Stegostoma tigrinum: one gene and its partner. The protein of the gene in region 1 purifies or fractionates together with the protein of each later gene. This does not show direct contact. Links are inferred from orthologs where the notes say so. Each region holds a gene or a part of one and is shown in the gene's direction. Other genes may lie near its edges.

Region 1 (10,154 bases):
GGTTTGGAAGTAGGTGAGCACTTTGGTGATAGCGATCACAATTCTGTTATGTTTACTTTCGTGATGGAAAGGGATAGGTGTATACCACTGGGCAAGAGTTATAACTAGGGGAAAGGCAATTACGATGAGATTAGGCAAGATTTAGGGAGCATAGGATGGGGAAGGAAACTGCAGGGGATGGGCACATTAGAAATGTGGAGCTTATTCAAGGAAAAGCTCCTGTGTGTCCTAGATAAGTATGTACCTGTCAGGCATGGAGGAAGCTGTAGAGCGCGGGAGCCGTGGTTTATGAAGGAGGTGGAATCTCTGGTCAAGAGGAAGAAGAAGGCTTATGTTAGGATGAGATGTGAAGGCTCAGTTAGGGCACTTGAGGGCTACGAGGTAGCCAGGAAAGACCTAAAGAGAGAGCTCGGAAGAGCCAGGAGGAGAAATGAGAAGTTGTTGGCAGATAGGATCAAGGTAAACCCTAAGGCTTTCTATAGGTATTTAAGGAATAAAAGAATGACAAAAGTAAGATTAGGCCCAATCAAGGATAGTAGTGGTAAGTTGTGTGTGGAGTCAGATGAGATAGGGGAAGCACTAAATGAATATTTTGCAACAGTATTCACTCTAGAAAACAACAATGTTGTCAAGGAGAATACTGAGATACAGGCTACTCGACTAGGTGGGATTGAGGTTCACAAGGAAGAGGTATTAGAAATCCTTCAGAGGGTGAAGATAGATAAGTCCCCTGGGCCAGATGGGATTTATCCTCGGATCCTCTGGGAAGCCAGGGAGGAGATTGCCGAGCCTTTGGCATTGATCTTTAACTCGTCATTGTCTACAGCAATAGTGCCAGATGACTGGAGGATAGCAAATGTGGTTCCCCTGTTCAAGAAGGGGAGTAGAGACAACCCTGGTAATTATAGACCAGTGAGCCTTACCTCAGTTGTTGGTAAAGTGTTGGAAAAGGTTATAAGGGATAGGATTTATAATCATCTAGAAAAGAATAAATTGATTAGGGATAGTCAGCACGGTTTTGTGAAGGGAAGGTCATGCCTCACAAACCCTATTGAGTTCTTTGAGAAGGTGACCAAACAGGTAGATGAGAGTAAACTGGTTGATGTGGTGTATATGGATTTCAGCAAGGCGTTCGATAAGGTTCCCCACAATAGGCTATTGTACAAAATGCGGAGGAATGGAATTGTGGGAGATATAGCAGTTTGGATCGGAAATTGGCTTGCTGAAAGAAGACAGAGGGTGGTAGTTGATGGGAAATGTTCATCCTGGAGAGCAGTTCCTAGTGGTGTACCGCAAGGGTCGGTGTTGGGTCCACTGCTGTTTGTCATTTTTATAAATTACCTGGATGAGGGCGTAGAAGGATGGGTTAGTAAATTTGCAGACGACACTAAGGTTGGTGGAGTTGTGGATAGTGACGAAGGATGCTGTAGGTTGCAGAGAGACATAGATAAGCTGCAGAGCTGGGCTGAGAGGTGGCAAATGGAGTTTAATGCAGACAAGTGTGAAGTGATGCACTTTGGTGGAAGTAACCGGAAGGCAAAGTACTGGGCTAATGGTAAGATTCTTGGTAGTGTAGATGAGCAGAGAGATCTCGGTGTCCATGTACGCAGATCTTTGAAAGTTGCCACCCAGGTTGACAGGGCTGTTAAGAACACATATAGTGTTTTAGCTTTTATTAATAGAGGGATCGAGTTCCGGAACCAAGAGGTTATGGTGAAGCTGTACAAAACTCTGGTGCGGCCGCACTTGGAGTATTGTGTACAGTTCTGGTGACCGCATTATAAGAAGGATGTGGAAGCTTTGGAAAGGGTGCAGAGGAGATTTACTAGGATAATAAAATGTGAGGCTGGATGAACACAGCAGGCCCATCAGCATCTCAGGAGCACAAAAGCTTGAAGCGTCTAGGCCCAAAACGTCAGCTTTTGTGCTCCTGAGATGCTGCTCGGCCTGCTGTGTTCATCCAGCCTCACATTTTATTATCTTGGATTCTCCAGCATCTGCAGTTCCCGTTATCACAGATTTACTAGGATGTTGCCTGGTATTGAGGGAAGGTCTTACGAGGAAAGGCTGAGGGACTTGAGGCTGTTTTCATTAGAGAGAAGAAGATTGAGAGGTGACTTAATTGAAACGTATAAAATAATCAGAGGGTTAGATAGGGTGGATAGGGAGAGCCTTTTTCCTAGGATGGTGACGGCGTGCACGAGGGGGCATAGCTTTAAATTGAGGGGTGAAAGATATAGGACAGATGTCAGACGTAGTTTCTTTACTCAGAGAGTAGTAAGGGAATGGAACGCTTTGCCTGCAACGGTAGTAGATTCGCCAACTTTAGGTACATTTAAGTCGTCTTTGGATAAGCATATGGACGTACATGGAATAGTGTAGGTTAGATGGGGTTGAGATCAGCATGACAGGTTGGCACATCGAGGGCCGAAGGGCCTGCACTGTGCTGTAATGTTCTATGTTCCCTCCTTCGTGAGGTCAAAAATAGGGATGTGTGATAATGATTGCACAACGTTCACCATTTACAGTTCCTCAGGTACTCAAGCAATCCATGTTGAAAAATGGACAGTATCAGGCTAGAGCTGACATGCATTTTATTTGCCACAGTGCCAGGTAATAACCATCTCCAATAATACAGAATCTAACCATTGCCCCTTTACATTCAATGGCATTATCATTGCTAAATCTCCCCACTGTCAGTATTCTAGAGCTACCATTGACCAGAAACTGAATGGACTAGCCATGTTAAATACTGAAGCTACAAGAGCAGGTTAGAGGAGAGGAATTCCTGCATGTATATCATTTTTAACGCACAAGTCAGTGTGATGGAACACTCCCCATTTGCCTAGATGGGTGCAGCTTTAACAGCACTCAAGATGCTCAACAATCTCCAGGATACAGCAGTCCAACTGATTGATTAGTCACCTCCAACGCTCGCTCCATTTCACACACTGTGGCAATACTATGTACCGCAACAAGACCACTGCAATAATACACAATAATACATCAAGAATCCTCCAACAAAACTTCACAATCCAGAATAGGAGCAACAGGCACCCTATCACTTATGAGGTTCCCTCCAAGCTAACACTATGCTGCCTTCAAATTACATCACTATTTCTTCACAGTCCATGTGTCAAAATCCTGGAACTCCCCTGCATTATGGGCATCCATAAACCTGAAAGCAGTAATGGTTCAAGAAATTGGCTCAACAAATTCTCAAGGGTAATTAGGGATTGTGTGGTCAAGTCCCATTCCTCAGACAACCCCATAGCCCAGATGGATTCCACATATACTGTACGAGGGAACGCTGCAGTGTCTTAAGACACCAACTTCAGCTTAAACCAAGACTCTGCTCCCTTGATTGGATGTAAAAGAACCCACTGTGTTACTTTGTAGAAGTCGAAGGAATTCTTTCTGATATTCAGACCAATATTTGTCCCTCAACCAATATAATTAAAACAAATAATGCAGTTTTGTATTTCATAACTGTTTTTGGGAACCTGCCTTACACAAATATGCTCCAAATTTCCTTGCTTCACTTCAAATTTACTTCATCGACTTCAGAAAATTTGGGATGACCTGAAATTGTGAAAGGTGCATAGAAATTCAATTCTTTCTTGCAGTTGACATCTTATAAAATTTATATTTGTACGATGGAATCACAGATGAGATTACTTAAATCCAAACTTGGATGAAAGAAGATTGGAGCCAAAACACATTGAGCTAGATTTTCCTTGAACAACCAACTGAACTTTGACCCAGTCATTCTATTGCTGCCGTACACGATCTAGCCGCATGTATCGCATGGCTGCAAACTGACTGAACTTGGCACTTGAGGCTTGTCAGGACATCAATGCTTCATGTCTTTAAAAGATTTTGAAGAACAATACAAGAAATATGAATTTGTAAAACACTGAACTTGAACAGCAAAATTCACCAAAACTAAAAAATAGTGAAATATGGTTAATGTCCCAGTTTGCAGCAATGGCTTTACTGTATTTTCTGTTGTTACTGAGGAGTATAGACATATAAGGAACAAGGAATGGTCCAAGGCCTCTTTGGAAATATCCTTCTCATGCGAAGTATCGAATTACATCTTAAATTGACCACATTCCAACTGGACTTTCAAAATCTACATGTTCTCGAGCCTGTCTGCCAGAATTAAAACTGTACTCTTTGCCTTTGTTCTTCTGTGGCATCCTGTGTGATTATGATTTAGGTAAACTATCTGTGTTCAACCCGTCTACGCTCTTTTAACTTAGCTGCCCATACCATCCTCCTCCACTTCCTCTGCAATGTCATTCAGGAGTTGGGACTGTTCTCAGCGGGTTCCATCTTTTCTACGCAGTTGTAGCCAGCCAATCAGGGGCAGCAGCTTTTCTTCCGGCTCCCACTTTACCTGTATCCCTCGAAGACCCATTTTACATCTACATACTGCTCTTTATTTACATCATCCAAAAACGCAGCCTTGCATTCTCCCTGGCTGCACCCAGCTCTCAGTTTACCATCACCTTTCTCAACCCCACCCACGGATGCTCAGTTACCAGACTATTCATCTGACATCAAGTACTGAATGAGCAACAGTTTACTCCCAAAAAAATAGTGAAGACCAAAATCATTGTCAGGTACTTGTGACAAACTCTGCTCCTTAGTCGCTGATTTCATTACTCACGATGGACATTGAGGCGAACCCAGATTGCTTGCAACATTAATCTCATTGTTTGGCCGGAGTATTAGGTTCCGACGCAGCCTTCAGTAAAAATACCCGATTCCACCTCCGCGACATTGCCTGCATTTGTCCCGCCTCAGTTCATCTGCAGCTGAAATCTTCATCTGTGCATTTTGTTACTTCCCAACACACTCCTAGCTGGCGTTCCGCATACTCCATTTAGTAACACAACAGAAATTTGCTGGAGAAACTCTGCAGGTCCGGTGGCCCTTTGTTGACTCTGCTTTCTCTCCTCAGATGCAGCAAGTTTATCCCGCAATTTCCATTGTTGTTTCAGATTTCCTGCACCCGCAGTTCTTAGTTTTAATCTACTCTCGCCAAACTTTTGTTCATTCAAAACCCTGCTGTTTCCTTACTCACCCGTCTCCCAATTTACATTGGCCCCAGGTTACGCCACGCCTCGGCATTTAAAATTCTCAGATAACAAAGTGTGTAGCTGGATGAACACAGCAGGCCGAGCAGAAAAGCTTTTGTGCTCCTGAGATGCTGCTTGGCCTGCTGTGTTCATCCAGCCTCACACTTTGTTATCTCAGATTCTCCAGCATCTGTAGTTCCCATTATCTCTGATTCAAAATTCTCATCCTTGTTTTAAGTTCCTTTACGTCCCCATCCCCAGTTCCACAACCCTCAGTGATTTTAATATCCTTGTGCTGATCTCATAAGCATTCCCAGTTCAATTGCTCAACCTCTTGAGGCCACTGAGGAATTCATCCTTAAATTTAATGTCTCATTTGGCTGTAAAAACACTTTGGCTCTCAAGTCTTACTTTTGCAATTAACATCTGATTCAAATTGTCTGTACCCCACAACGCTGGTAAATTAATTCTTATCTTTTTAACTTTGACAGTTATTGTTGATGATGATGATAATAATAATAATATATAATATATATATATAATATATAATAATAATAATAATAATAATAATAATAATAATAATAATGTGCCAGTTTACCAAGGTTTTAATGTGGAGAAGCGGGAAAGAAGCTGAAACTTCCAAGAAATCTTGCTGCAGTTTGTGCTCTTTGCCTCCGCCAGGGGACGCTGTCTGCCTCGGGGGCGATGCATGCGTCCTCCAATCCAGCAGGGAGGCGCTCACGCCAGCTGAGTGACATCGTCCGGGTCTTCTCATGTGTCCGCAGAGGGACAGGTGCCGGCAAACCGGCTTCTGCCCTTTGACCCTGACTCGTCCTTGACACAGCGCGTGGTTCCCGGATATTCCTGGAGGAACGGAGCCGGCGCCGGGCGATGGTGGGAAACCGGATCGGGGGGAGCCCCGGGCGGGTGTGCGGTGGGGCCGTCCGGGGGGTGGTTGCGGTGGGGCCGTCCGGCGGGACCCCGGGGGGTGGTTGCGGTGGGGCCGTCCGGGGAGAGATCCTGCGGGGGTGTCCGGGGCCGCTGATCCGCGGGGTTTCGGCCCCGGGCCGGGGGTTCCGGACCTGGATGTGCAGTGAGCTGCTGCTCAATTACTGGGATCTAACCATCCGCCCTCTCTCTGCTTGTGTTCAGGCCAAATACTTGGTTCAGATCATCATCGTTGGAGCCCAAGTGGTGGGGAGAGCATTTGCCCGGGCAGTGAGGCAGGAAATGGCTGGTAAGTAATTGGAGAGGCCTGAAGATTTCTTTTTAAAAGCTGATCTGATGTCCTGTTGTTTACTGACAGGATTAACACAGGGCCTCATGCCTCTGGAGTGGGGCTTCAAGCCACGACTTGCTGTTGCAAGCGAGAGTGTTAACCCCCAAACCAGAGCTGATATTGATGGGGAAAGATTTCAGTGAACCCCTGTGATCCTAGCTGAGCCCAGCGGGGAAGACAGTAGACCAACAACGGCAGGAGTTTCTGGGTGTGATTGAGGACACAGTACACAGAGGTTCATCCCAAAAAGAAAGATTATCCGGGGTGGGATTAGACATCCATGGCTAACAAAGGAAGTTAGGAAATATATCAAAGAAAACGAGACAGCCTATAAAGTGGCCAAGAGCACTGGGAAATCAGAAGATTGGGAAGGCTACAAAAACAGACAGACAGAGGATAACAAAGAGAGCAATAAGGAAGGAGAAGATCATATATGCAGGTAGGCTAGCTAGTAATATTAGAAATGATAGTAAAAGCTTCTTTCAATACATAAGAAACAAACGAGAGGCAAAAGTAGATATTGGGCCGCTCCAAATTGATGCTGGAAGGCTAGTGATGAGAGATAAGGAAATAGCTGAAGAATTTAATAAGTACTTTGCGTCAGTCTTCACAGTGGAAGACATGAGTAGTATGCCAACAATTAGGGAGAGTCAGGGGGCAGAGTTGAGTAAGGTAGGCATTGCAAAAGAGAAAATGCTAGAAAAGCTAAAAGGTCTAAAAATTGATAAATCTCCTGGCCCCGATGGGCTACATCCTAGAGTTCTGGGGGTGGCGGCTGAGGAAATAGCGGAGGCTTTCTTTGTAATCTTTCAAAAGTCACTGGAGTCTGGGAAAGTCCCAGATGATTGGAAAATTGCTGTTGTAACTCCCTTGTTTAAGAAAGGATCAAGACAAAAGATGGAAAATTATAGGCCAATTAGCCTAACCTCAGTTTATTAGATTAGATTCCCTACAGCGTGGAAACAGGCCCTTCGGCCCAACAAGTCCACACTGCCCCTTGAAGCATCCCACCCACACCCATTCCCCCCAAAACCCACACACCCCTGAACACTACGGGCTGTTTAGCACGGCCAGTCCACCTAACCTGCACATCTTTGGACTGTGGGAGGAAACCAGAGCACCCGGAGGAAACCCACGCAGACACGGGGAGAACGTGCAAACTCCACACAGACAGTCGCCCGAAGCTGGAATCGAACCTGGGTCCCTGGCGCTGTGAGGCTGCAGTGCTAACCACTGAGCCACCGTGCCGCCCTGTTGGTAAAATTCTAGAATCCATTGTTAAGGATGAGATTTCTAAATTCCTGGAAGTGCAGGGTCAGATTAAAACAAATCAGAATGGATTTAGTAAGTGTAGGTCGTGCCTGACAAATCTGTTAGAATTCTTTGAGGAAGTAACAAGTAGGTTTGACCAGGGATTCCCAGTGGATGTTATCTATCTAGACTTCCAAAAGGCCTTTGATAAGGGAGGCTGCTGAGTAAGGTGAGGGCCCATGGTGTTTGAGGTAAGCTACTGGCTTGGATTAGGATAGGCTGTCTGACAGAAGGCAGAGAGTTGGGATAAAAGTCTCTTTTTCGGAATGGCAATCGGTGACGAGTGGTGTCCCGCAGTGTTCAGTGTTGGGGCCACAGCTGTTCACTTTATATATTAATGATCTGGATGAAGGGACTGGGGGCATTCTGGCGAAGTTTGCTGATGATACGAAGTTAGGTAGACAGGCAGGTAGTACTGAGGAGGTGGGGAGGCTGCAGAAAGATTTAGACAGTTTAGGAGAGTGGTCCAGGAAATGGCTGATGAAATTCAACGTGAGCAAATGCGAGGTTTTGCACTTTGGAAGAAAGAATACAGGCATGGAATATTTTCTAAACTGTGAGAAAATTCGTAAAGCAGAGCACAAAGGGATCTGGGAATATTGGTCCAGGATTCTCTAAAGGTTAACTTGCAGATAGAGTCCGTGATTAAGAAAGCAAATGTAATGTTGTCGTTTATCTCAAGAGGGTTGGAATATAAAAGCAGTGATGTGCTTCTGAGACTTTATAAAGCACTAGTTAGGCCCCATTTAGAATACTGTGTCCAATTTTGGGCCCCGCACCTCAGGAAGGACATACTGGTGCTGGAGCGTGTCCAGCGGAGATTTACACGGATGATCCCTGGAATGGTAGGTTTAACGTACGATGAACGGCTGAGGATCCTGGGATTGTATTCATTAGAGTTTAGAAGGTTGAGGGAAGATCTAATAGAAACTTACAAGATAATGTATGGTTTAGAAGGGGTGGACGCTAGGAAGTTGTTTCTATTAGGTGGGGAGACTATGACCTGTGGGCACAGCCTTAGAATTAGAGGGGGTAAATTTAAAACGGAAATGGGGAAGTCATTTCTTCAGCCAGAGAGTGGTGGGCCTGCCGGGACATTAAATGTCTTCAAGGCAGAGATTGATAAATTATTGATCTCACAAGGAATCAAGGGCTACGGGCAGAGTGCAGGGAAGTGGAGTTAAAATGCCCATCAGCCATGATTAAATGGAGGAGTGGACTCAATGGGCCGAATGGCCTTACTTCCACTACTATGTCTTATGGAATTGGATGAGGTAGTGGAAAATGGAAAGAATATAGTTAGCAGTAGTTTATAGGCCCCCTCACAATAGTTATGTAGTCGACAGGGAATGAATGAAGTAAGATATAAAGACACTTAATAAAGGTGGTATATTACCGTTGGTGACTTTAATTTTCTTGTAGATTGCGATAGATTTATAGAGGGAGGCATGAAGAACAATTCAATAGACAATAGGTGCTGGAGTAGGCCATTTGGCCCTTCAAGCCAGCACCACCATTCATTATGATCGTGGCTGATCATCCACAATCAATATCCTGTTCCTGCCTTATCCCCATAACCCCTGATTCCACTATCTTTAAGAGCTCTAACCATCTCTTTCTCGAAAGTATCCAGACAGTTAGCCTCCACTGCCTTCTGGGGCAGAGCATTCCATATATCCACCACTCTCTGGGTGAAGAAGTTCTTCCTCAACTCTGTTCTTAATGGCCCACCCCCTATTTTTAAACTGTGTCCTCTGGTCCTGGACTCACCCATCAGCGGAAACGTGCTTCCTGCCTCCAGAGTGTCCAATCCCTTAATAATCTTATACGTCTCAATCAGATCCCCTCTCATCCTTCTAAACTCAAGTGTATACAAGCCCAGTCGCTCCAATCTTTCAACATATGACAGTCCCGCCATTCTGGGAATTGACCTCGTGAACCTACGCTGCACTCCCCTAATAGGAAAAATGTCCTTCCTCAAATTTGGAGACCAAAACTGCACACAATACTCCAGGTGCGGTCCCATCAGGGCCCTGTACAGCTGCAGAAGGACCTCTTTGCTCCTATACTCAATTCCTTATGTAATAAATAAATGAGTCTCCAAGAACAATATTGTGTGAATCCAACCAGAGTTTGAGCTATTTTGGATCTGATCATGTATAATGAGGCAAGTTTAATGAATGATGTCAGAGTAAAACAAACCATGACTGTAACATGGTCAGTCAGTCTTACTTTTGTGGTGGCCAAATTATTGGAGATGATTCTGCGAGATAGTATTTATGATTATTAGGAAAAGCACAGTTTGATTAGAAATAGTCAGCATGGCTTTGTGAGGGGCAGGTCATGCCTCACAAGCCTTATTGTTTTCTTTGGGGATATGACAGAACACATTGGTGAAGGCAGAGCGGTGGATGTGGTGTGTGTGGATTTGATAAGGTTCTCCATGGTCGGCTCATTAGAAAGTAAAGAGCGTGCGA
Region 2 (10,849 bases), on another chromosome or scaffold:
CACAGTCATGCTCTCCTCCTCTCGGTCCACAAAAGAGTGGGTCTTTATTTTGTTCCGGATGTAAGCTGGTTCACTGAGCTGGAAGGTTTGTTCCCAAATAATCAGTCACCATTCTAGGTAACATCAACAGTGAGCCTCTGAAGTGCTGGTGTTATGTCCCACTTTCTATTTATCTGTTTAGGTTTCCTTGGGTTGGTGATATCATTTCCTGTTCTTTCTCAGAGGGTGGTCAATTGATTTGGAGTCAATGTGTTTGTTGATGGAGTTCTGGTTTGAATGCCATCCTTCTAGGAATTCTCATGCGTGTCTCTGTTTGGCTTTGCCCAGTGTATTCAGGAAGGATTCCTGACACAGTATGTATATAGACCAACATGAGGAGAGGCCACTTTGGATTTAGTGCTTGGCAATGAAACAGGCCAAGTGTTAGACTTGTTGGTAGGACAGCATTTTGGTGTTAGCGATCATAACTCTGTTATTTTTACAATAGTCATGGAAAAGGATAGGTACATACAGCAGGGTAATGTTTATAATTAGGGGAAGGGTAATTATAATTCTGTTAGGCAAGAACTGGGTAACATAACATAAAACGGGAACAGATGCTGTCAGGGAAGAGCACTATAGAAATGTGGAGATTGTTGAAGGAATGCATACTGTCTGCTCGACATATTTGTCCTTAGCAGGTAGGGAAGATGCGGATGAGAAATCTACACATTCAGAAACAAATAATTCAGCAGTAGTTTAACTGGCCAAACCATCCCTAAACTTCAAAATTCTGCAAAGCTCTCCAAACCAGAGAATCTTTCTGAAAGCTTGTTTTTTTTATCTCAAAAGTATTATCTTCTACTCAGATCTTTACAGTTATTTTGACCTGCAGTGTTGTGATTCCAGCTGATGTTATCACTGGGCAAGATCCCAGACTGAAACCTGGCTTGATAGATTTGTTTTATTGAGTTTTTTTTTGACAGGGTGTTCTTTCACAAAAACATAAGCAGATTTTGTTTCAATGATAAAACAAGGTGAAAACGAAATTGAATAAATCACTGAACATTAAGTTTAAACATTTTCAAAGAGACAAAATATCATCCTACTATTCCAAAATGAACCTTTACAGATCTCAATCATGTTCCTATACAAGAGACGAATCTCTTTCTTGAACACCTCAATAGGTTAATTTAACTCTGACTTCAACTTTCAGTCTAAGGTCTGATAGCCTTCCCCAGGAGCTTGTGGTTTCTGATGAGCAGGTTACCTTGTTTGTTCTTTTTCACGAATATGTATTTTATAATTTGCATGCAGTCCAGCTGTTGGATATATATTGATACTTAATAGAACAATTTGCCTGGTAAATGCTTAGATTCACTTTCAATTCTTAGCTAGTAGGTAGAATTAGGGAAGTAACGTATGTTCAGTTATGAATATGATAATTTAAGATTGAGATATTTGTGGTTCACATTTTTCTTGCAGTTTAAAACTCATCTGGTTGAGTGCAGACAGGTTAAAAATTTCAGTTTTCTCTTTTGTTTTTTGTTGCAATCCACTATTCAACTGCGATCCCCAGAAACTAGAGTTACTGTGGTCATGTCACTGATCCTAGTGTACTGGAATGGAATGCTAATCTTAGCAATGTTAACCATGGAACTGTCTGTCACTTTTTTTTTAAAAAAGCCTATCTGGGCCACTGGCATCTTTCAGAGGTGAATACCTGTAATCAAAATTTAGAGATTAATTGAATGTAAGGAAGACAGCAAATAGGAAATGCTGTTAAACGGCATACAAAAAAGGACTAAAATGTTTTAATTGTTTAAAACAATGTTAGGAAGTGTGAGGGAAATAGTTTACATTGTTCCTTATGTTATGAACCCTGTGAAGACCAAAACCACAACAGGATATAATTTCCCAAATTACACTAACAGAAGAAATGGTATCAACCAAAATCATAAGTTTTTAAAACTTTGTTCTTATGTCTATTTCTGTTCAATAAAACAATCAAATTGAGGTGAACTGTATTCACTAGAAACTAAGGTGTACTCTTTAAATAGCCAACACAAGATTACTCTTGTAGGTTTAAAGCAACCCCCAACAGCACACGTGGCATTAATCTCAAGCAGAGTTTCTCCAATATTTCCAGATACACTTTCAATTCCTTCATTTTTATTGGATTCAGTTGGCAAGTGGCTTCTGAGGTAAGTTTTTTAATGCTTCCCTGAGTTCCAGGGTTACGTTGTGCAGCAAAAGACACACATTTCCAGAGTCCAACACCTACGCTCGGTTCGCAATAAACAACTGCACCTCCCAGTCGCAAACCACTTCAACTCCCCCTCCCAGTCTTTAGATGACATGTCCATCCTGGGCCTCCTGCAGTGCCACAACGATGCCACCCAAAGGTCGCAGGAACAGCAACTCATATTCCGCGTGGGAACCCTGCAACCGAATGGTATCAATGTGGATTTCACAAACTTAAGTCTCCCTTCCTTCCCCCCCCACCCCACCCCACTGCATCCCAAAACCAGCCCAGCTCGTCCCCGCTTCCCTAACCTGTTCTTCCCCTCTCCTATCCCCTCCTCCCACCTCGAGCTGCACCTCCATTTCCTACCTACTAACCTCATCCCGCCCCCTTGACCTGTCCGTCCTCCTGGACTGACCTATCTTCTCCCTACCTCCCCACCTACACTCCATTTTTACTGGCTCCACCCTCACCTCTTCGACTTGTCTGTCTCCTCTCCACCTATCTTCTCCTCTATCCATCTTCGATCCACTGCCCCCTTTCTCACTATTTATTTCAGAACCCCTTCCCCCTCCCCCATTTCTGAAGAAGGGCCTTGGCCCGAAACGTCAGCTTTCCTGCTCCTGAGATGCTGCTTGGCCTGCTGTTTTCATCCAGCTCTAAACCTTGTTATCTCGGATTCTCCAGCATCTGCAGTTCCTATTATCTCTTCTTCCAGCTTTCTGTTGCTTCTTTCCATAGCTGTTCCCACATGAAGCTCCATTTCATAAATATCCTCAACTGTTCTCCCTTTCCTAAACGAAACTGAACATCTGTTCTGTTCACAATCTGATCCCCTCATTAACTTTTATTTCTTTGGCAAATGAAGACCACCAGATTTCTCAGCTAATGCTACAGCCAAGAAAACCAGTCAAGAAATGAAAACAGAAAATGCTGGAGAAACTCAGCAGGTCTGGCAGCATTTATGGAGAGAGAATCCGAGTTAACATTTCAAGTCTGATATGATTCTTTAGTTGCTGAGTTTCTGCTGCATTTTCTGCTTTCAGTTCAGGCTTACAGGAAGTCACAGTATTTTACTTCTAAAAGAAACTCCTCCAGATAACGAAGTGTGGAGCTGGACGAACACAGCAGGCCAAGCAGCATCTCAGGAGCATAAAAGCTGATGTTTCGGGCCTAGACCCTTCATCAGAAAAGGGGGATGGGGAGACGATTCTGAAATAAATAGGGAGAGAGGGGGAGGCGGACTGAAGATAGAGTATGGGTGGGGAGGCAGGGAGGGGATAGGTCAGTCTGGGGAGGATGGACAGGTCAAAGGGGTGGAATGAGTTTAGTAGGTAGGAAATGGAGGTGCGGCTTGAGGTGGGGATAGGTGAGAGGAACAACAGGTTAGGGAAGCGGGGACGAGCTGGGCTGGTTTTGGGATGCAGTGGGGGGAGGGGGGGATTTTGAAGCTGGTGAAATCCACATCCATACCATTGGGCTGCAGGGTTCCCAAGTGGAATATGAGTTGCTGTTCCTGCAACCTTTAGGTGGCATCAATATGGCATTGCAGGAGGCCCAGAATGGACATGTCATCTAAGGAATGGGAGGGGGAATTGAAATGGTTCGTGACTGGGAGGTGCAGTTGTTTACTGCGAACCATTAAGTGTTCTGCAAAGCAGTCCCCAAGCCTCTGCTTGGTTTCCCCAATGTAGCGGTAGCCACGCCGTGTACAGTGGATGCAGTATACCACATTGGTGGATGAGCAGGTAAACCTCTGCTTGATGTGGAAAGTCATCTTGGGGCATGGGATGGGGGTGAGGGAAGTGGTGTGGGGGCAGGTGTAACACTTTTTGTGGTAGCTCGTCCCTGCCTGCCTAACCTGTGCTTCCCCTCTCCTAGCCCCCACTCCCACCTCAAGCTGCGTCTCCATTTCCTCTTAAGATGCTGCTTGGCCTGCTGTGTTCATCCAGCCCCACACTTTGTTGTCTTGGATACTCCAGCATTTCAGTTCCCATTAGGTCTGATCTCCTTCTCCAGAAACTCCATTTTGGACTCTCTTGCAGCTAAGAACAGACCCCAAATTAAAAGTTTTTGAAGCCATCTTATCTCACTTATTACTTTGCAGAATCAACAATGCTGGCTTATGAAGTTATAGATGGAGGGAATCAAAACTGTGCTATTGCAGAGTTCCAAAATCACTGCTTCTTGCAACAGGAGTTCCATACAGCTGAAGAATAACTCAAGAGACAGAACTGTTACACTCTGAAAGAATGTGTGAAACTAAGTTTATGTTTAATCTTCAAGGTAACCACGAAATGAAGTTGCTATACCAGAAAATTGGGCAAGTACGAAAAAGCTTAATATTGAAATATGAGTCAATCAAGAATGGCAGCAAGTGGTATGATTTACTGCATGCTCTGGTAAATGATATCAAAGAATTGTACTGTCTTACTGCTCATGTGGTTTAACTAAATGAAATCATGCATGTTGTTGTGATTATATTTCTGTCAATGTGTGTGTTATATTCTGTTATTCCTGCATTCTGAACATCATTTTCATATTTTACCTAGAAACAAGAAAAGTTCTGAACTTTGGAAAAGGCACCCTGTGGAAGAAAAATCAACAAAAGTTATGATGTCATGATCAAAATTAATATCAAAATTTATAATCTTGATTTCCTCCAACATGTTCTAATTTCCTACAGGAAACAAAGTAAACTGATGTCAATATAATGGTTAGATACACAATTTGACAAAGGCAACTGTAGATACAATAAAATGTAATAACCAACTAAGCTTAAAAAGGAAGAGTCTAGGCCCGAAACATCAGCTTTTGTGCTCCTGAGATGCTGCTTGGCCTGCTGTGTTCATCCAGCTCCACACGTTGTTATCTTGCATTATTGGTCTCGATGTTCTGTGGGGGCAATCATCAAAGCGTAGGCTGCAAGGGAGGACAGTTGCGAATTAGGAGCAGTCTGAGTTATTGGGTGGGTCAGTTGTGGGAATTTTCTGCCTGACATCCTGGGTAACAATTCAGGGACATAAATCAAAACTGTCTGCGTCAGCAGCGCTCACCTAGAATTACAGATTTTTGTGCAGGGTTCTGTGCAACGGAATTTCACCTGCGGAGCACGTCGCTGTCAATCAGGCAGTTTATGTCAGAAGCAGCAGGTATGCAATGATCACAGATAATCGGGTGATTTTGGTGCGCATCCTGAGTCATCTCGGTTGATCCGGAGACTGCATTTTAATGTTTAATTCTAATACATTTAAAACAGTAATAGGACTAGTGGAGTTTACTGGGCAATCTAAAGATTGCCGTGTTTTTACAGAAGGTACCCTGAGACACTGAAATTAGACTCCAATTCCTGAGTACACGTCATTTTCCTTTCTCTCAAGTTCTCCCTGATTAAAAACGAAGGCCTAAAGAAGAATAATTCCTCCAAGCGTTAGGGCTACTTCTCTCTCCACAGATACTGACAGACCGGCCGAGGTCCTCCAGTATATTCCCCCTAATAAGTAAGATTGGCTCTGAATTATGGAGATTCCATTGAAGTCACATATTGAAATAGAAATTTGACGAGGGTTGTTTTACACTTAGCAAAAAAAGTTAACGTAAGCAATGCCATTTTATTTTAATAACACTCACATAGTTCCGACTGTTAGAAGCATCTGACTTCCTCAACAGGACATGTCGCTCTCACTGTAGCCTTCGTTATCTCTGATCATATCACACCTACGACAGACGATAGGTGAGAACACACCGCCTGATTGACAGCGTCCCGCCCCCCACGTGAAGGGGCGGGGCTTCGTACGCACAGGCCGTTCTAACTTCCCCCCACCTCCACGGGAAATTCACCAATCACAGGACCGGCTGACAAAAGGAGGCAGGCACGCCAACGACGGACACGTTTCACGACTACAAAAGTCGATGTACGACAAACGGTAGCTTTGGTCACGTGTCTTTTTCACTGTGATTCGAAAAGGAAATCCGAATAGAATGTCAGCGCGTAGTTTTTGTCTTTATTTCTAAAAGATAGCCCATTTTACGATTAAAAATGGTAAGTTAAATGGTTTAAATCTATAAACTGGATTCTGTGCAATTTAAAGGAACAGATTGCACACTCACTGCAGAGAATTGAGACTACTTTTAAAATAGGTTCAGGTTTGCAGTTATCTTGTGTCTTTGCCTCTCACGACATTTCGATGAGGAGATGCTTTGGTAGGGCACTGAGCCTCCACGCTGGGAGGGGCCATGTGACTGAGTCATGAGGGACATGGGTCAAGTGAACAGCCAAGGTCTTTGTCTTAGGGTGGGAGAGTCCAAAACTAGAGATAATTAGTTTTAATTCGCGCGGGGAAAGACTTAAAAAGGACTAAAAGGGTCACATTTTTACGCAGAGGGTGTCTGTACGGAATGAGCTGCTGGTGGAAGTTCATAGAATCCCTACAGTGTGGAAACGGGCACTTCGGCCCAGCAAGTCCACGCCGACTCTCAACATCCCATCCATACCCAGCCTCCTATAACCCACCTAATCCACACATCCCTCAATACTACGGGGAATTTTTCATGGCCACTCCACCAAGTCTGCACATCTTTGGACTGTTGGAGGAAACTGGAGCACCTGGAGGGGAAAATTACAAAATTTAAAGGGAATCTGGATGGTTATATGAATAGGAAAGATTTAGACAGATATGGGTCAAATGCTGGAAAAGGACTAGGTCAGAGTGGGATACCTGGTTGGCAAGCATGAGTTGGACCACAAGATCTCTTTCTGTGCTGTATGGCTCTCTGGAGTGATGCTACAATAATATTTAAAAAAAAAATAAAACTGTGGATGCTGGAGATCTGAAACAAAGACAGACTGCTGGAGAAAGAGATAATAGGAACTGCAGATGCTGGAGAATCCAAGATAGCAAAGTGTGAAGCTGGATGAACACAGCAGGCCAAGTAGCATCTCAGGAGCATGAAAGCTGATGTTTCGGGCCTAGACCCTTCATCAGAGCTGAACTCAGGTTTGGCAGCATTTGTGGGAAGAATGCAGAGTTAATGTTTTGATGTCCAAACACTGCATCAGAACTGTTAGTAGCTAGGAAAAAGTGGTATTTACGCTGAAGCCAATGTGGGAAGGAGTCAGGTAAGTGGATAGGTGGAGATGGAGCTCAGACATACGGAAGGTGTAAGTAAACCAGATTACGGGTAGCCAGCCAGGACAGAAGAAAAGCTGAATAAGTGGTAAGAGCTGAGTGAGAAGATGGGCTAGATATGCTGAATGCAACCCGTATAATGTGATCAGAGATAATAAGAACTGCAGATGCTGGAGTCAGAGATAATATAGTCTGGAGCTGGAGGAACACAGCAGGTGTGCCGCATCAGAGGAGCAGAAAAGTTGACTTTTCAGGTTGGGACTGAAATGGGGATGGGGAAGGGCGCTCAGAAATAAATAGAGGCTCAGAAACTGTTTTGTAGAGCACCTGCACTCTGTTCGTGACAAACGATAACACCTTCCGGTGGTGAACCATTTCACCTCCCCTTCCCACTCCCTGGGTGATGTGTCCATCCGGAGCCTCTTCCAGTGTCACAATAATGCTACCCGCAAACTGGAGGAGCAGCACCTCATATTCCGACTCAGAAGTGTACAGCTCAGTGGTGTAAATGTAGATTTTTACCAGTTTCAAAATCTCCCCTCTCCCCTGCCTCCTTGGCCTCTCACAACCTCTTCATCTTCTCACCCGCCTATCTGCCCCTTCCACCTCACTGACCAATCCCCACCACTCCCTGCTTGCACTCACCTATCACTATCTTTCCTGCCATCCCTAGCCTACCCTTCCTCTCTCCATTTATTTCTGAGCTCCATTCCCCCTTCCCATTTCTGAGGCAGGGTCCCAACCCAAAATGCCAACCTTCTTGCTCCATATAATGTGATAATGTGCCTAGGAGTATGTAGGAATGGGTGACTGTTAAAAACGATGTATCTGGCTGTGGGGTTGGTGAAAAGTATGGAATCGGGCAGGAACAGCTTGGGAAGGATGATATCAGGCTCTTAAAGTTATTGGACTCGAGTGTTGCATCATACGGGCTGCAGCGTCCCAAAGTGGAAAATGAGATGCCGCTCTTTGAGCTTGTGCTGAGGCTGGTTGGAAGACTACAGCAGGCCTCTGTTAGGAAAATTGGTGTAGGAATGCAGTGGTGTGTTGAAATGACAGGCAACTGGAAGTTTGGGGTCACTTTTGCAGGTGTCCTGCAAAGTGGTCATCCAGCCTGCATTGTCTCCACAATGTAGAGAAGACAATGTGAATATCGAATACATGAGACTAGATTGAATGAAGTACAAGTAAATCACTACTTCACCTTTTTGGATGAGGATGTAAACATGTAATATTACTTCTGCCATTGCATGGAAGGGTGATGTAGGAGTGCATGGAGATGTTGGAAATAGAGGAGGAATGTATCGGAGGGAATTCTGACAAGCGAAGGGAATATGTGTCAGGAATATTATGGATACCTGATGTTAGAATAGTGGTAATGCTAACAGTTACTACTTTGTAGTGTTTATTTTGAAATGCAGTTTTATTGGTTTTCTATTTGAAAAGCAGAATTGAGTTCAAACTGGACTAATAAGTGACTTGAAACAAAGTGCTGGGAAATTCAGGTCTAGCAGCATCTGAGAGTTAATGTTTTGTTAAGTCTGGTGGTCACTCCAACCAGTACATCCTAAATAGCTAAAATTTGCATCAAGTAGATTTGGTAAGAATGAGGTAAGAGTACAGATGAATATGCTGCTTATGATTTTCTGATATCCATAAGTTTTTGAACAGAATAAGCAGATCAGAATTTAAATATAACTCATTCTTTCAAGAAGGAAGGGAGTCAAAACAGGGAATTAGAAGCTAATAAGATTGATGTCATTTGTTGGAAAAATGCTAGGCTTGATTACTAAAGAAAAACCTAAGAATGCATGTGCATGTGAAAAAATAGATCAGAAGGATCAAACAAAGCCTGTATGGTTTTATGAAAGTGAACTTGTTTTTGAAAAGTGTTTTTTGCTGAGGATGTAACTCTTAAATAGATAAGGAGGAATTAGTAAATATTTTTGGGTTTCCAAAGAGAGTTTAATACTCCAGTAAAGGCAAAAGCTCATGGAGTTGGGAGTAATACTGGGCAGTGGAAAGATTGGATATTGGACGGAAAGTAGGGATAAATGAGTAATTTGAGACTGTTTACAGTCTTGATTGACTTTAGCCGAGAGACCAAGAATAAAATGTCCAAATTTGCTGAGGCAATAACTAAATGGGAAAGTTAACTGTGCAGGGCACAAAGGCAGAAAATTATAGACAGGTTGTACATGAGGACAACAAGATGACAGATGGAGGTTTATAGGAAAGAGAAGAAAAGTAGTATTATTCATTTAAGATTAGATTTTTTAAAAAAGGGCTCATACTTTAAAAAACAGGAATAGGTAATCATATCCCAAAATTTTATATTTTGACACCACCGTCCTCTGCTACCAGTATTATGCCTAAAAAAATAACTATTTAAACTGTTCAAATCCACACTTGAGAGCCTAATTTCAAATCACCTCACACTCATCCCTCTGATTACTAGCTTCCCATTCTTTTATATACCAATCATACCCAATTCACCCTTAATAAATACATCTATCACCTATTCCTTATTCTATTAGGTCTCAAGCACTTCTTCAGACTATAACAGTACCAACCCAGTTTTGGTGATGGATAAAGACCCACAAACAATGTGGCAGTCAAATAAGTTTCTTTGTCCACCGTTGATTTTGTGCCCTGAGACTTCATGGCATCTGTAATTAATATTGAGAATTCTTTCCTCACTCCCTTCTTATTATTTACCACACCGCTGCATCCTTTGGTCTATCTCATCAGCCATTGGAACGGTATTTACGGTTTATACTCAAGAATGTTGATGGAGAAATGTGAGCATTGACTGACAGTTATGAATGCAGTGTATTGACTGGTTTGAGACAGAAGTTCAATTTTGACAGAAGTCCTCAAATATTAGTAAGGAAGACTTTTCAGAGTAAACTGGGCAGGGAGTACCTTGATCCACTACTAGGTAGTCCAATGATTCTGTTCGTCTTAGACTTCTTATATATATTAGTTTTGCAAGCCAGTAAGTTATGTCCATCAAGGGTTTCAATGGCATTTAGAAGTCAACCACATTCCTGTGGATTTGGAATCATGAATAGGCCAGACCAGGTAAGGACACCAGCTTTATATCCCCTAAAGAATGTTAGTAAGCCAGATGTTGTTTCGACAATCTGGGAGTTCCGTAGCCATTGTTTTTGTTTTAGTTCCACATTTATTTATTTAAATTTAAACTTTTCACCTGTGTTTGGGCCTTCATATCTATACATCAGAGTTCATAAATATATAATGAAAAGGTACACTACATAACATACTTTATATCTAATGACTAAATTAAGGCTTTGACAGAGATTATGCTTTTGGTACACAAAGCCTTGGCTAGATTATATCTGGATTCTGCCACCCATTAATATATAGCACCATACCTTATGAAGAATATACTTGTCTTCAGTATGGTACAAATTACCAGAATAATACATGTATTTCTTGGGTTAATAAAGGAGAGATTACTAAACAGTTGTAT

The links.
Region 2: the proteins of pam16 (region 1) and dnajc19 purify together in Homo sapiens (affinity purification with mass spectrometry; 3 studies listed by BioGRID and IntAct, with this or other methods). This does not show direct contact. The link is inferred for Stegostoma tigrinum from reciprocal best matches to the Homo sapiens genes PAM16 and DNAJC19.

The regions. Positions count from the first base shown.
Region 1 is NC_081376.1:33,329,762-33,339,915, reverse strand, and holds the start of pam16 (mitochondrial import inner membrane translocase subunit tim16), read left to right. Parts: upstream 1-5,842; 5' UTR 5,843-5,978; coding exon 5,979-5,981; intron 5,982-6,239; coding exon 6,240-6,324; intron 6,325-10,154. UniProt on the Homo sapiens protein: Regulates ATP-dependent protein translocation into the mitochondrial matrix. Inhibits DNAJC19 stimulation of HSPA9/Mortalin ATPase activity.
Region 2 is NC_081367.1:47,471,630-47,482,478, forward strand, and holds the start of dnajc19 (mitochondrial import inner membrane translocase subunit TIM14), read left to right. Parts: upstream 1-6,090; 5' UTR 6,091-6,263; coding exon 6,264-6,266; intron 6,267-10,849. UniProt on the Homo sapiens protein: Mitochondrial co-chaperone which forms a complex with prohibitins to regulate cardiolipin remodeling.